Linked DNA regions of Cricetulus griseus. The protein of the gene in region 3 interacts with the protein of the main gene of each other region in a biochemical or structural test. Links are inferred from orthologs where the notes say so. Each region holds a gene or a part of one and is shown on either strand. Other genes may lie near its edges.

The links.
Region 1: the proteins of Lrrk1 (region 3) and Vgll4 form a complex in vitro, tested with the Homo sapiens proteins (2 studies listed by BioGRID and IntAct, with this or other methods). The link is inferred for Cricetulus griseus from reciprocal best matches to the Homo sapiens genes LRRK1 and VGLL4.
Region 2: the proteins of Lrrk1 (region 3) and Nudt16l1 form a complex in vitro, tested with the Homo sapiens proteins (2 studies listed by BioGRID and IntAct, with this or other methods). The link is inferred for Cricetulus griseus from reciprocal best matches to the Homo sapiens genes LRRK1 and NUDT16L1.

The regions. Positions count from the first base shown.
Region 1 is NC_048601.1:29,921,203-29,925,458, forward strand, and holds the start of Vgll4 (transcription cofactor vestigial-like protein 4), read left to right. Parts: upstream 1-1,316; 5' UTR 1,317-1,760; coding exon 1,761-1,842; intron 1,843-4,256. UniProt on the Homo sapiens protein: May act as a specific coactivator for the mammalian TEFs.
Region 2 is NC_048600.1:41,753,644-41,757,895, reverse strand, and holds Nudt16l1 (tudor-interacting repair regulator protein), read left to right. Parts: upstream 1-1,312; 5' UTR 1,313-1,790; coding exon 1,791-2,021; intron 2,022-2,105; coding exon 2,106-2,366; coding exon of another isoform or gene 2,367-2,408; exon of another isoform or gene 2,409-2,443; intron 2,444-2,881; coding exon 2,882-3,103; 3' UTR 3,104-3,694; downstream 3,695-4,252. UniProt on the Homo sapiens protein: Key regulator of TP53BP1 required to stabilize TP53BP1 and regulate its recruitment to chromatin.
Region 3 is NC_048596.1:131,008,381-131,012,023, reverse strand, and holds part of Lrrk1 (leucine-rich repeat serine/threonine-protein kinase 1), read right to left. Parts: intron 1,452-3,643; coding exon 610-1,451; intron 43-609; coding exon 1-42.

The DNA.
Region 1 (4,256 bases), on a different chromosome or scaffold from region 3:
ATGCAAACAGAAAACTGTATACATAATAAATAAATAAATCTTAAAAAAAAAAGTTCTTCATTTCAAAGTAAGTGAATGCAATGAAGTCTTTTGGAGGTGGGATGGGTTTTACTCTGTAGCCCAGATAAGTCTTGGAACTCATGGTTGGTCCCCTGCCTCAGTCTCTGATGGGCTAGAATTACATAGAGGCTCACACCACAGTGCCAGGTGGAGGTTGGAATTCCTTAAGGCAGGTTCTGTTTTCTTTTTAGATGAAGCTCAGTGCTGCTTTGTATTTGAGCTTCTTGGAGTGCTTTGAAAGTTTTCATGATTGATTACAACCTTCCAGATGAGTTCGGGAAGCAACTGGGCTTTTAAAAATTATTATTTAAGCTGGGCAGTGGTGGGAGGGACAGGCAGGTGGATCTCTGTGAGTTTGGGGGCAGCCTGGTTTACAGAGGGAGTTACAGTGCAACCAAGACTACACAGAAAAACCCTGCCACCCCCCATCGAAAATTATTATTTATTTTGTGTATGGATATTTTTCCTTGGTGTATGTCTGTGCACCCTGTGCATGCAGTGCCCTTGGAGGCCAGAAGAGGGGCGTCAGATCTGCTGGAACTGGAGTTTGTGAGTGTTGGGTGCTGAAATTCCGTCCTCTGCAAAAGCTGCCAGTGCTCTTAGCCACTCAGCCATCTCTTCAGATAGTGTCCCCCACCCACCGTGTGTGTGTGTGTGTGTGTGTGTGTGTGTGTGTGTGTGTGTGTGTGTGTGTGTGTGTGTGTGTGTGTGTGTGTCGGGGGGCTGGGTCTATAGACTACTCACTTAGTCGGGGCCCCAGTTTCCTCTTCTGTGGAAAGATTCGTCTCTGGCGCCCTGTCTTTTATCTGTGCAGCTACAGGGCTTAGGAAGGAAGTTACATGTACATTGACTTTGAAAGTGTAAACACTCACTATAGCCCTGGACATAGTAAAACCATCTTAGAAAGAAACAAAGAAACCTTGTACTGATCAGAACACTCCCCAGTGGAAGCCCTAGGTTCCCAGTCCCTGGAATGAAGTCACCCAAAAGTTAAATTTCATGTAGTTCGCTTCCGCGGCAGATTTTTTTTTTTTAACTTTGTGCTTAGCAAAACAAAACAAAACACTGCAAAACTTGCTGGGTTTTCCTCCATGGACTCTGGCAGCCTTTGGCTCCTAAGCGGAAAGACTCCTTGCCCCCTGCGCCTCACTTTCCCCTCCTCTTTCTGCTTCCTGCTAACTCTGCAAGCGCCCAGATCCTGAGCCTGTGCCGAGGCTCCAGTGAGCATGCTCGGCCCCCACCTCCCCAAGCAGAGGAAGCTGGTTTACATACGAGTCATACCAAGCATAGCCAGCATGTCAGAGCAGTCAGCTTGCAGCGGGCTGTGAGGGAGAGTGCCTTTGTCCTAAGAAATGTGCTTCGTGGTTTTCTTTTTTACTGCTTTCTTTTTAAACCCTTAAGGCAGGCTTTGGAAGACTGCTGACATGATTTTTTAAAGCCGAGTAGAGGACGCAATACAGACACTGCCTTCCAATAAGCCCTTGACGGGGTTTTGTTTGAGTCTGATTTTTTTTGTGTGTGTGTGTGCGTGATCTTTTTAAAAAACTTTTACATACTTTGTTTTGATCTTGTGAGGCTGGGCCTCTGTCTTCCTGAAGTTTTAGAAGAGCCTGGAGCTACTCAGCTAAGGCTGAATTTTGAAACTTTCTCTTCGGGGGTGAAAGCAAAGAACTGCTTTTCTTTGCTAGCCGAACAGATAAATGCTGTTTATGAAGATGGACCTGTTGAACTACCAGTACTTGGACAAGATGAACAACAACATCGGTGTTCTGTGCTATGAAGGTAGATGCTCCAGAATGGACTTCTTTTTTACATTTGTAACGGCCCCTCCTCCTTGGGGGGGGGGTATGATCAGCTTCTGAACATTTCTTGTCTTTCTTGGGATGGTGGAGTGCCTAGAGAGAGAGAGTTGTGTGCCATTTCAGGACAGTTTCCTGGTGCCTGGCTGGAGAGTGGCAGCCGGGAAGGGCTGGAGGGGACACATTGTTACAAGTTTGCTTCCAGTGTACTGACAAGATCTGACAAGATTGTTACACTTTAAATTCTTTTCTTTTTTGATTTTGTTGCCATTTTATGTAGGGGAGGAACTTATAGGAACAAGAAGCTAAGCATGTGGGTGTTAGAGCAGAGGGGAGGGGCTCTGAGACGTATTTTTAAATACATCACCGTGTACAGTATTCTGTGTGTACTCTTGCTCTGGATTTTGTGTGGTGAACGGACAACAACAAAAAGCCACAATGAGTTTTTGTTTTCCGGGGCCATTGTCTCAGACATTGAGGATTTTTTTTTTTTCTTGTGGAGTTTGTGGGGCTGGCAAGGCCTGGTGTCAGGGAGCCCAGGCCTGCTCTTTGTCTGCCGCCCCATTTCCTGTGACAGTGAGACTGGCTCCCTCCAACCCCCAGCCCCAGGCGATTACACAACCCTGTTGCCAAAAGGCTAAAGAAAGTGGAAAATGCCCCCATCCCTAGGTTCTTCTTGCTCATCCCCTCCCCTTCTTCTGGACATCCCCTGGAGTGGGGAAGAAGAGAAAACCTCAGTTCCATCTTTTGAAATTTTACCTACGTGCCATTTGAGTCCAGGGTAATGGCCTGGTTGAGCTTCAGGACTGGCAGGGCAGGGAGAGATCGAGGGCTGCCAGGGAGTCTTTCCCGGTAAAAGCATGTAGGAATCAGGGCACATTTTCCTTCTAGGGGCCCAGGCTCTGTGTTTTCTCTCACGGTAAACTGAGTGGTTGTTTGCTTTTTCATGGACAGATGTTAAAGTGGGGTGCAGAGTCAGTTATTTTTGTGTAAAAGTTTCAGATCTGTTTCTTAAAGCAGTTGAAAACACACCCTTTCTCTTTCAAACTTGTTTTAAAATTAACTCTATGGATATAAAGAATATAATATTTAAAGTTTTTTGTTTTCATTGTTGTTGCTGTTGTTTTATTTTGTTCTAAAATAAGATACCACTTTACTTTGACAAGTTTCCTCTACATGTAAGGAAACTAGACTCCCTCATCTCAAAGGCTGGATTTTCAGAAGCGGTTTCTGGTGGGATTCATGTATTGTCTTTAAAAAACAGCTGCACCCCAACCCCAACAAAAGATGAAAACTTTTTAATGTGATTTCTTTGTCATCAAGTAATCTGATATTTTTAAAAAAACAAAACAGTGAAGTGCACTGAAGCTGCCAGGACACTGGGACCAGGTTTGTTCCTTGTGTCTAGGGAGGAAGTTCAGCGGCTCCCCCAGGTGGGCGTGCGGTTCTGTGAAAAGTACGTATGCCAGCAGTTAGTTGTCTTGTTTCCTTCAGTGTTTTGAAGAACAGACTTTGATTTTGAGAGCCGAGTGGATGTGTGGGATCATAGGCTATCGTCTGTTTAGTTTAAACATCTGCTCCCGTTTTCCTTATTATGAAAGGTAATATTATTCTAACACCAAAATAAATACACAGGAAATGAAGAAAAGTACAGCAAAACCAGAGTGTCGTTTGGAGCCGGTTGTTTACGTCCTCTGGTTTCCTCACTGTAAACACCGCACACATCTGGTCTCAGAGCCTTGTGGAAGGATGGGTGTAAATCATACACGGAATTCTCTCCTGTAAGGAGTGAGACAGAGGCAGGCCTGTGGCACATGCCTGCAATCCCAGAACTGAGAAGGCAGAGGCAGGTGGATCTCAGTGAGCCTGGTCTACTTAGTGAGTTCCAGCACAGCCAGGGCTACATAGGGAGACCCTGTCTCAAACAAAAAAACAAACCAAAAAGGAAAGTTGATAGAGTTTCAACGAAGTGTGCTGTGATAGTTTGCACTGCACACATCAGCCCTCTAGAGTGCCAGGGCAGTTGGTTATGTGGAACATGAGTGGATGGGAGTAGGTGGCATTTGATCTATTCTGGGGCACAGGCCAGCCTCCTGCCTGTTAAGGGGACACACTCAAGTGTTTACCTTGTTGGCTTTAGAAGTGAAGGTGTAGGTGGGGGAGCTTTGCTTGCCCAGGTTGCTTCTACCACAGCTTTGGTTGTGTCGGGTGAACGGTGTCCTCACCTTCTCCCTTCTTTCAGGAGCTCCCATGAAGATGGGTCAGCACACAAGGACTCTTAGATCTTACTTTGGAACCCACTCTAGCTTGTCCTCCCTCTTTGAGTTCTTGGGCTGGAACCCACATTACCTTCTGCGAAGTCCACCTTCTCCCACCCAGCCCCACTATAGCCCAAAC
Region 2 (4,252 bases), on a different chromosome or scaffold from region 3:
GTTTCTCATTGGTTAATTGTCTAAGGCTCCTCTCACAGTCCACCTATAAGCAGGGTCCCAGTGATACTTGGTCTTTAAGGCAAAGTGTCCATGGGTGGCCCCAGGGCAAAGGTGCCTAGGCAGTGAGGCTCCCCTGGTGAGCGGGTACAGAGGTGCCCTGCCACACTCACCTAGGTAACAACCTGTAGCAATGCATGGAGCCCCCTTTTAGGTTGCTTGAGCTCTGGTTCTGCCTCTGCCCCTTTGTCGCAGTTGCTGGCCTGGTCTCTGTGAGCCTGTGAGCAGAGCCTTGCCTGCACATCCATCTCCCCTCCTGCTGAACACACATGCAGTCACTTCAGCATGTGCATGCCCGCCCACCCCTCACCTGCCAACACCCTGGCCTCTGGCCATGGTACTGCTGCCAGTACTTTGAAAGATGGGATGCAGACTACAGACTCACGTGTCTCAGATTCACATGTGCTATCATTTGATGTGCTCTGATTGGCTAGTTTTTGGTTTGTTTTTACTGTATATTTATAGTAATAAAATCATGCAGCAATATTCTACGTGTGCCTTTGTTCAGGCACAGCACTGTGGGCAGGCAGTTGGTCCTTGATGTAGTGGCAGGACACTGTTTTCTGGTAGCTTACCTCTCGTGAGCAATTGGTGAATCTCAGCCTCCTGGGCAGGTTGTCCCAGTTCTTACACCCACCCCAGCTCTTCTGATATCTGCTGAGCACTAACCATGTGTCAAGAGGAGAACATGCTTAAATCTTTTTCATTAATTTATTTTTTATATTCCAATCTCAGTTCTCCCTCCCACCTCTTCTGCTCCCCCTACTCCCTCCCCCACCTCCCATCTGCTCCTCAGAGAGGATAAGGTCTCCCCTAGGAAGTCTACTAAGTCTGATCCATCATGTAGTTGAGGCAGGACCAAGGCATCTCTCCATCCCCACAACCCTGTGTCTAGGCTGGGCAAGGTATCTCTCCATAAAGATTGGGCTCTACTAAGTCACTTTGTGCATTAGTGTCAGAACTTGGACCCACTGCCAGTGGCCTCATATATTGTCCCAGTCACACCATTGTCACCTATATTAAGGGAGTCTAGTGCAGTCTAATGCTGGTTCCCCATTTGTCAGACCAGAGTCAGTGATCTCTCACTAGCTCGGGTCAGCTGATTCTGTGGGTTTCCCCATCGTCTTGACTCCTTTGTTCATATTATTGCTCCTCCCTCTCTTCAATTGTACTCCAGGAGCCTGGCCCAATGGTTAGTTGTGGATTTCAGCATCTGCTTCCATCTGTTTCTGGAGGAGGGTTCTAGCTTCTCTGAGGTTGTGGATTGTAGGCTGGGTATCTTTTGCTTTATGTCTGGTATCCACTTAGGAGTAGGTACTATATTTGTCTTTCTAGTTTTGGGTTACCTCACTCAGGTTTGGTTTTTCTAGTTCTGTCCGATGTTTAAATCTTTAAAGGCGTGGTTTCATAGGACAAATGGTGGAGCTACGAGCTCAGGGTCGAGGCTCGGGAAAATCTGCACCCTCAGAGATGAGGTGAAAATTGAGAGTTGCAGTGGTCCTCTCAGGGTTGTCCGGGACTCAGAGATGGCACGTATTGATGCTCATTGTACCTCCCTCTGATGACCTGGCTTCACGCGGTGCATCTTGGGAATTGTAGTTTTCTGGTCGGTGGGAGAGGTCTCCTATGCAGCTTGGAGGGTGGCAAACTCCACCCTCCCACCAGGGACTCCAGTCATCTCTGGGTTCAACCTCAGGCTCTCAGGATTGGTGGGGGCGGGCCTATGCACGTGGATGCACGTGGATTGGGCCTGTGTGTCGTGGGCGGGGTCGCGCATGCTCATTTGGGCGGTGGGCCTGGAGCGTATCAAGATGTCGACCGCGACGGTTCCAGAGCTAAAGCAGATCAGCCGGGAGGAAGCAATGCGCTTGGGGCCCGGCTGGAGCCACTCGTGCCACGCCATGCTGTATGCCGCGAACCCGGGGCAGCTCTTCGGTCGTATTCCCATGCGATTTTCAGTGCTGGTGAGGATCTGGGTGGGTGAGCGGGCGGACACAGGCTTGGGGTGCCCTGTGGACCCCACGTCATGATCTGACTTAACCTTGCAGATGCAGATGCGCTTCGACGGGCTGCTGGGCTTCCCCGGGGGTTTTGTGGACCGGCGCTTCTGGTCGCTAGAGGACGGCTTGAACCGGGTGCTAGGCCTGGGCTTGGGCGGCCTGCGCCTTACCGAAGCTGACTACCTGAGCTCACATCTGACTGAGGGTCCACAACGCGTGGTGGCACATCTATATGCACGGCAGCTGACACTGGAGCAGCTGCATGCTGTGGAGATCAGTGCAGTGCACTCGCGGGACCACGGTCTGGAGGTGGGACCACTGCCTGGGGACCGCCCCCATCCCCACTCCTGAGGTTTGGCTCTGGCACCACAGAAGGCACCGATGTGGTAACAAGTGCCCCTCAGGGTCCTCACCCTGGCCATGCTGAGTGGGAAGAGAGACTTGGGTTCTGGGTCTGGGGCTGTTTACATTTGCCTTGCTGCCTGCCATTGTCAATCCTGGGAGTGGAGCATGGGATCACTAGCATAAAGGGATGTCAGGAACTACTTGGGAAATTGAGGAAAGACCCAAAAGGCTTGGTTGTAGGGCTTGGGGTTGTCTCCTGAGAGGTAATGTAAAAAGCTTTTGGGGTTTGTGGATCCTCTGGTCTAAGGGATTTGGAGTGAGGCAAGGTATCATGGGTGCTGGCCAACAGGGTGGGGAGTTCATAGGCTTTACTGCTACCAGCCTTGCCTGGGTCTCCCCATCTCTTTGACAAACATCTCTGCCAGGGTCCTACCTCTATAAGGAGAGCCCAGTCCCACCCCATACCCTCTGTCCCACAGGTGCTGGGCCTTGTACGCGTCCCACTGTACACCCAGAAGGATCGAGTAGGCGGCTTTCCTAACTTCCTGAGCAATGCCTTCGTCAGCACTGCCAAGTACCAGCTCCTATTTGCCCTTAAGGTACTCAACATGATGCCCTCGGAAAAGCTGGCAGAGGCCTTGGCCTCGGCCACAGAAAAACAGAAGAAGGCCCTAGAAAAGCTGCTCCCAGCCTCATCCTGAGGAGGTTCCTGTGCGGTTCTTGCCCTCCCTTAGCTGTCTCTGCCCACAGGCCCTGGGATTCCCGAGAAGCGTGCCTTCTAGCTTGTTTGGTTTTGCACCCTTTCTGACTGCAAGGGACAAGCAGGCAGCTGTTCATCTTTATTGTCCCAAGCAGTCCCTGGGACCTAGCTACTCTCTCAGGTTGTTCAGTGGGGTAGCTTGGGCCTGACTTTTCAAGCTGAGTATGCCGTCACCCATCCCAGGGCTCAGACTGTCCTGTGTGAGTCTGTTTGTGACTGCTGGAGACCCAGGTAGAGCCCACTTTTCCAAGGCAACGACTTGATGGTACATGGTTCCTGGACTGGTCAGGGATTTCATTCAATGGAGGTGACCCGTGTTAGATCACTCCTTCCCTTGGCCCAGCTTGCAATAGGCTGTTCATTTGGGTTGTTGCTGGATTTCTGTTAGATTTTTCTTTCTTGGTGTGTGAACTGTGGGTTGGTTTCAGAGTGGCTATGCCCCACATGACTTGGTTCTCCCCAGCAGGGCTTTGGCTCAACTCTGTGGAATTGAGGAAGCAAGAAGACAATAAAGCCATTCCTCTGATGCTTACGTTTGCTTCTGGGTGGCATGGGTCCAAGAACATGACCAGCTTGAACCCTGAGGGCAACCAATCTGGCTAGTAGCTTGAGTTCAGACCTTGTGGTGGTAGCATAAATGAAGCACAGATTTCATGTGCAGAGGTACAACAGCACCACCACAGAATAGGAATGCCACTGCTGGCTGACTTCCAGCCTGTCCAGAAATAGTGATTTTAGGGCTTAGAACAGCCACCAAGCAGAGGAGAGATCTTCGAGCAAGGGATGTGGAGATCAGAAGGGGCTATAGATGGGTTATTAGGGTCTACTGGTGACAGCCAGGAATACATGTCTTATGATCATAAATGAGCCCCCACCAACTTACAAGAATTTTATTTTCCAACAAACAGCACATTTTCTAGGCACCCAGACCTAACCTTAAGACCAAACAAACCTCAGTATGGCACCTGCATGTGCAGGGACACACACTCTTCACAGTTCCGACTGGGCCAGAGCTGCCTACTCGCTTGGGGCCTTTTCACCAGGACCTGGGAGCCAGGCCCTTCATCCTGCCTCAGGGCTGGCCCAAGCT
Region 3 (3,643 bases):
GAATTCTTCTCCAGGCCAATAACAATGACATCCCCTCCATGCCTAAGAAGACAAAGCCAAGAAGGGTAAAAGTGTGTTGAAGAAGCTGGACTCCCCAGTGGGTATAGGGCCACGGAGCAGGTAGGTACAGAGCCTGAAGTTTTTGTGAAGAGAGTGAGTGGAGGCGGTGTGACACAGGGAAAGACCTTCTATAGGAAACCTGAGCATGGTTCTTGTTTTGGGGGCACCTTGAATTTTCTGATGGACAGGTGAGCTTCTTATATTTGCTTGGAGATCACTCCCAATTCTTTTTTTTTTTTTTCTTTTGAGACAGGGTTTCTCTGTGTAGCTTTGGAGCCTGTCCTGGCACTGGCCCTGTAGACCAGGCTGGCCTTGAACTCACACAGATTCTCCTGTCTCTGCCTCCAGAGGAGTGCTGGGATTAAAGGCGTACACCACCACTGCCCAGCTATCACTCCTAATTCTAAAAGCAAATGGCAAAGACTTCTTGGGAGAACTGCCCAGATGGATTTGCAAATCTTTCAAGAAGCCATGGGTTCCACTCACTTCGGCCCCAAAACAAGAGCACTGGACAGCTCAGAAATGGCACCCCCACTCAAAAACACTTACCTGGGGACCCAAATGAGGTCTTTGACAGCAAGAACCTTCACAGCCTGCAGGTGTTGGTTGAACGTCTCCCCATCCATGGGGGTCAGGTCAGGCTCAGATCTGTCAGAAGTGACGCTGGGCCTGTCTGGATCTTCATAATCAGTGGAGAAAGGCACACTGGAATAGCTGGTCAGGGAGCTGGGCAGACTGGACGGGGACCTGGGATCTCGGTGGGGTGGGGACGAGGAGTAGGAGGACATGGAGCAGTAGTCAGTGAGTGAGTCCTGGTGGGTCAGGATCTGCATGCCCAGCTCCTCACTGTACATGATGCTCACGTCTGCAATGCACTCTTCCTCTGGCTCCTTTGAGGTGACTATGTGACTGCCTGGGGCTTCTGGGACTGAGGGCTGCACAGGAAACGTGTCCCTGAGAGGACTGGGGTCCCCACAGAAGTACCGGGCACACAGCTGGTAGGTGGCTGAGTGGTACATGACTAAGGAATTGGCCTTGTCATCTAGGCACCAGACCACCTCCTCCCCTCTGCAGTCTGAGCTGCACACAATTGATGTGACCGTGGAAGGGGCTGCAAAGGGCTCCAGTCGCCTGCTGATATCCAGGACTGTGCAGTCGATGATGAGGAGGCCAGGGCCATTGCTGTACCAGACCTCAGACCCACTGTTGACCACTTCCATCGCCTTCACTGGGTAGGGGTTCTGCCGTGCATCTTCATCTGGGATACAGAACTTGGACCTGTTGGCTGTGTGCGAGCACAAGTAGGAACAGCTTTCTTTTGGGGTGCCCCGTACCACCGGAAACACAGCCACAAGTCCATCAGCCAGGCCAGCCAGCACCAGAAAGGAGTTCTGTGGGGAGGGGACAGGGACACATGAAGCTCCTTCAGGTCACACATTCTGGGAGAAAAACCACAGGCACTAGACCCATCTTCATGTGTGCCTCAAGTGGGCACATGATCTCTCTTAATGCCTCAGAGAAGTAAGGGCTTTGAAATCCTGATCTGTTCGGGAGTCTCAGGCCTAGGTCCAGAAAAGATGTAGCTTGGCCCCACCAGAGCCACCATACATCCTTGGTGTTGCAAGGCAAGGGGTGTGCCAGGGAGGAACTGTGTCCACAGTGCTGAGGGCATCCGGCAAGGGTGCCACTACCTGGGATTGATCCCTTGCTGCATGAGCAGCAGGGAGCTGCTTTTCCTGAATGCCATGAAGGCCTCACTGGAAGGCAGGGCAGAATGTTTTCCCTATTGTAAACATCTTATTAACATGACAGCTGTGATAGGCATGAGGAACTCTGCCCACACTAGGTAGAGTGCTCCAGCAAAGCAGAGCCCAGATCTCTGTGCCCACCACTGCCACCTTGGCACTGTACTGGCCTAGGAAGGATTAAGTCTCATTCATCTCTGCAACCCTCGACTCCACTGTTCCCATCAAGTAGACATCGTATGTTTCCAGAAGAAACAGCTTCTAACTTAACTCTCCACACACAGAGAGAGTGTCTTGGCCCCATGAGCTCACACACACTCTGAAAAGCCTATGCTGACACTAGCATGGCTTCCTCTGTAGCTACCCACCAGAGGTCACTAGACAGAGGTCAAAGTTGCAGGCAGAAAGCCAAATGCAGGCTTCCCAGGTTATCTCCCTGAGCAGACACAGAGTGCAGTGGGGCATGTAAAGTGCCTCAGAACCAAGTTAGAGTTCAGGACAGAACAGGGTCCAGCCTTGTTCCAACCAGGGGGAATGGCAGAAAGCCACTTTGTTGGGAGTGTGTGTGTGTGTGTGTGTGTGTGTGTGTGTGTATAGCAGTGTGGGCTGTCTGGTCAGGGTAGTGGAGTGAGTGGCCTCTCACTCAACATCCACAGTAGAGAGCCCTAAGAAAGTTTCTCAAACTCCACCTTGAGGATTTAGGTCAATAAAGCAGCCAGAGCAAACAGGCCATAAGTCTTTCTGGATCCTGGCTGTGTTGGCCAGCGTGGGGAACACCACGTCCGTCTGGCAGGATGTGAGCGAGCTTGTGCAAGAACGCATGGGTCTGCTCTGTGTGGCCTCTGCAGGACGACCTCCACAGGGGCAGGCACCCTGCACAGGAGGCTCACACAGAGCCCGCTTTATTCTCTCTGCTAGGGCAGGACGTGCACACTGGCTAGGGCTCTGGCCATCGGGGTCCTTCAATAATGCTTTGTGTCCAGTTCCCCCTGGCTCTGGTGCAGGGAGTTCCCAGCTGCCCAGGCCTGCCTCTGGGGCAATGGCCATAAATGACTCTAAGGGTCATTTCATACCTATTTTGCAAGTCTTCTTTTTCCTTTTCTAAAGAAATGAAGCTAGAACAGCACAGAGAGAAGAGCCCACAGATTTGGGAACTATCAGGAAGTCACAGTAATACTTAGTTACCAAGTGCACAGCCTGGAACTCTGGGCTCCATAAGATCAGAAACTAATTCATTCCTACTATCGCCCCCATTGCATATAGACAGATGGAGATCACATAAGGATGGCCAGCACATTTTAAAAAGTGGTGCAAGGAAGTTCTCTTTATGCACTGGGGGAGAGCATGTGTTGCATCCTCAGGCCCCTCATAGCCTTTCTGGATCCAGGGAGGGCAGCAGAGAATGGGAGAGTAGGCAATGCCACACAACTTCTCAGAGGAGAGGTCATGGCTCTGGATCCCGGCAGTTCATCAGGAGGGACGCTCCTGGACAAGGCTGGGAAGGTGAAGCTCCTGTATCTGCTGTTTGAAGGAGAAGGCCCAGGACCAGTGCAGTGATGGGCTGGCCAGCCCTGGTGAGGCTGGATTCAATGCCAGCACGTGGTGGAGATGGCTTAGCTTAGGGGTGGGGAATACAGTGAGTGTATGGGTTAGGAGGGTGAGGAAGTAGGTCTTCTGGGCAATGCTGGCCAGCGTTGGGAAGTGTTGGGCAATGCTGGGCAGCACTGGGCAATTCTGGGCAGTGTTGGGCAGTGCTGGGCAATGATGGTCACCTGTAAAGTTGACTGAGACCTGGGCAGCAAGGTGGCCCAGGAAGGTGTGTCTCCACTGTCCCCAGC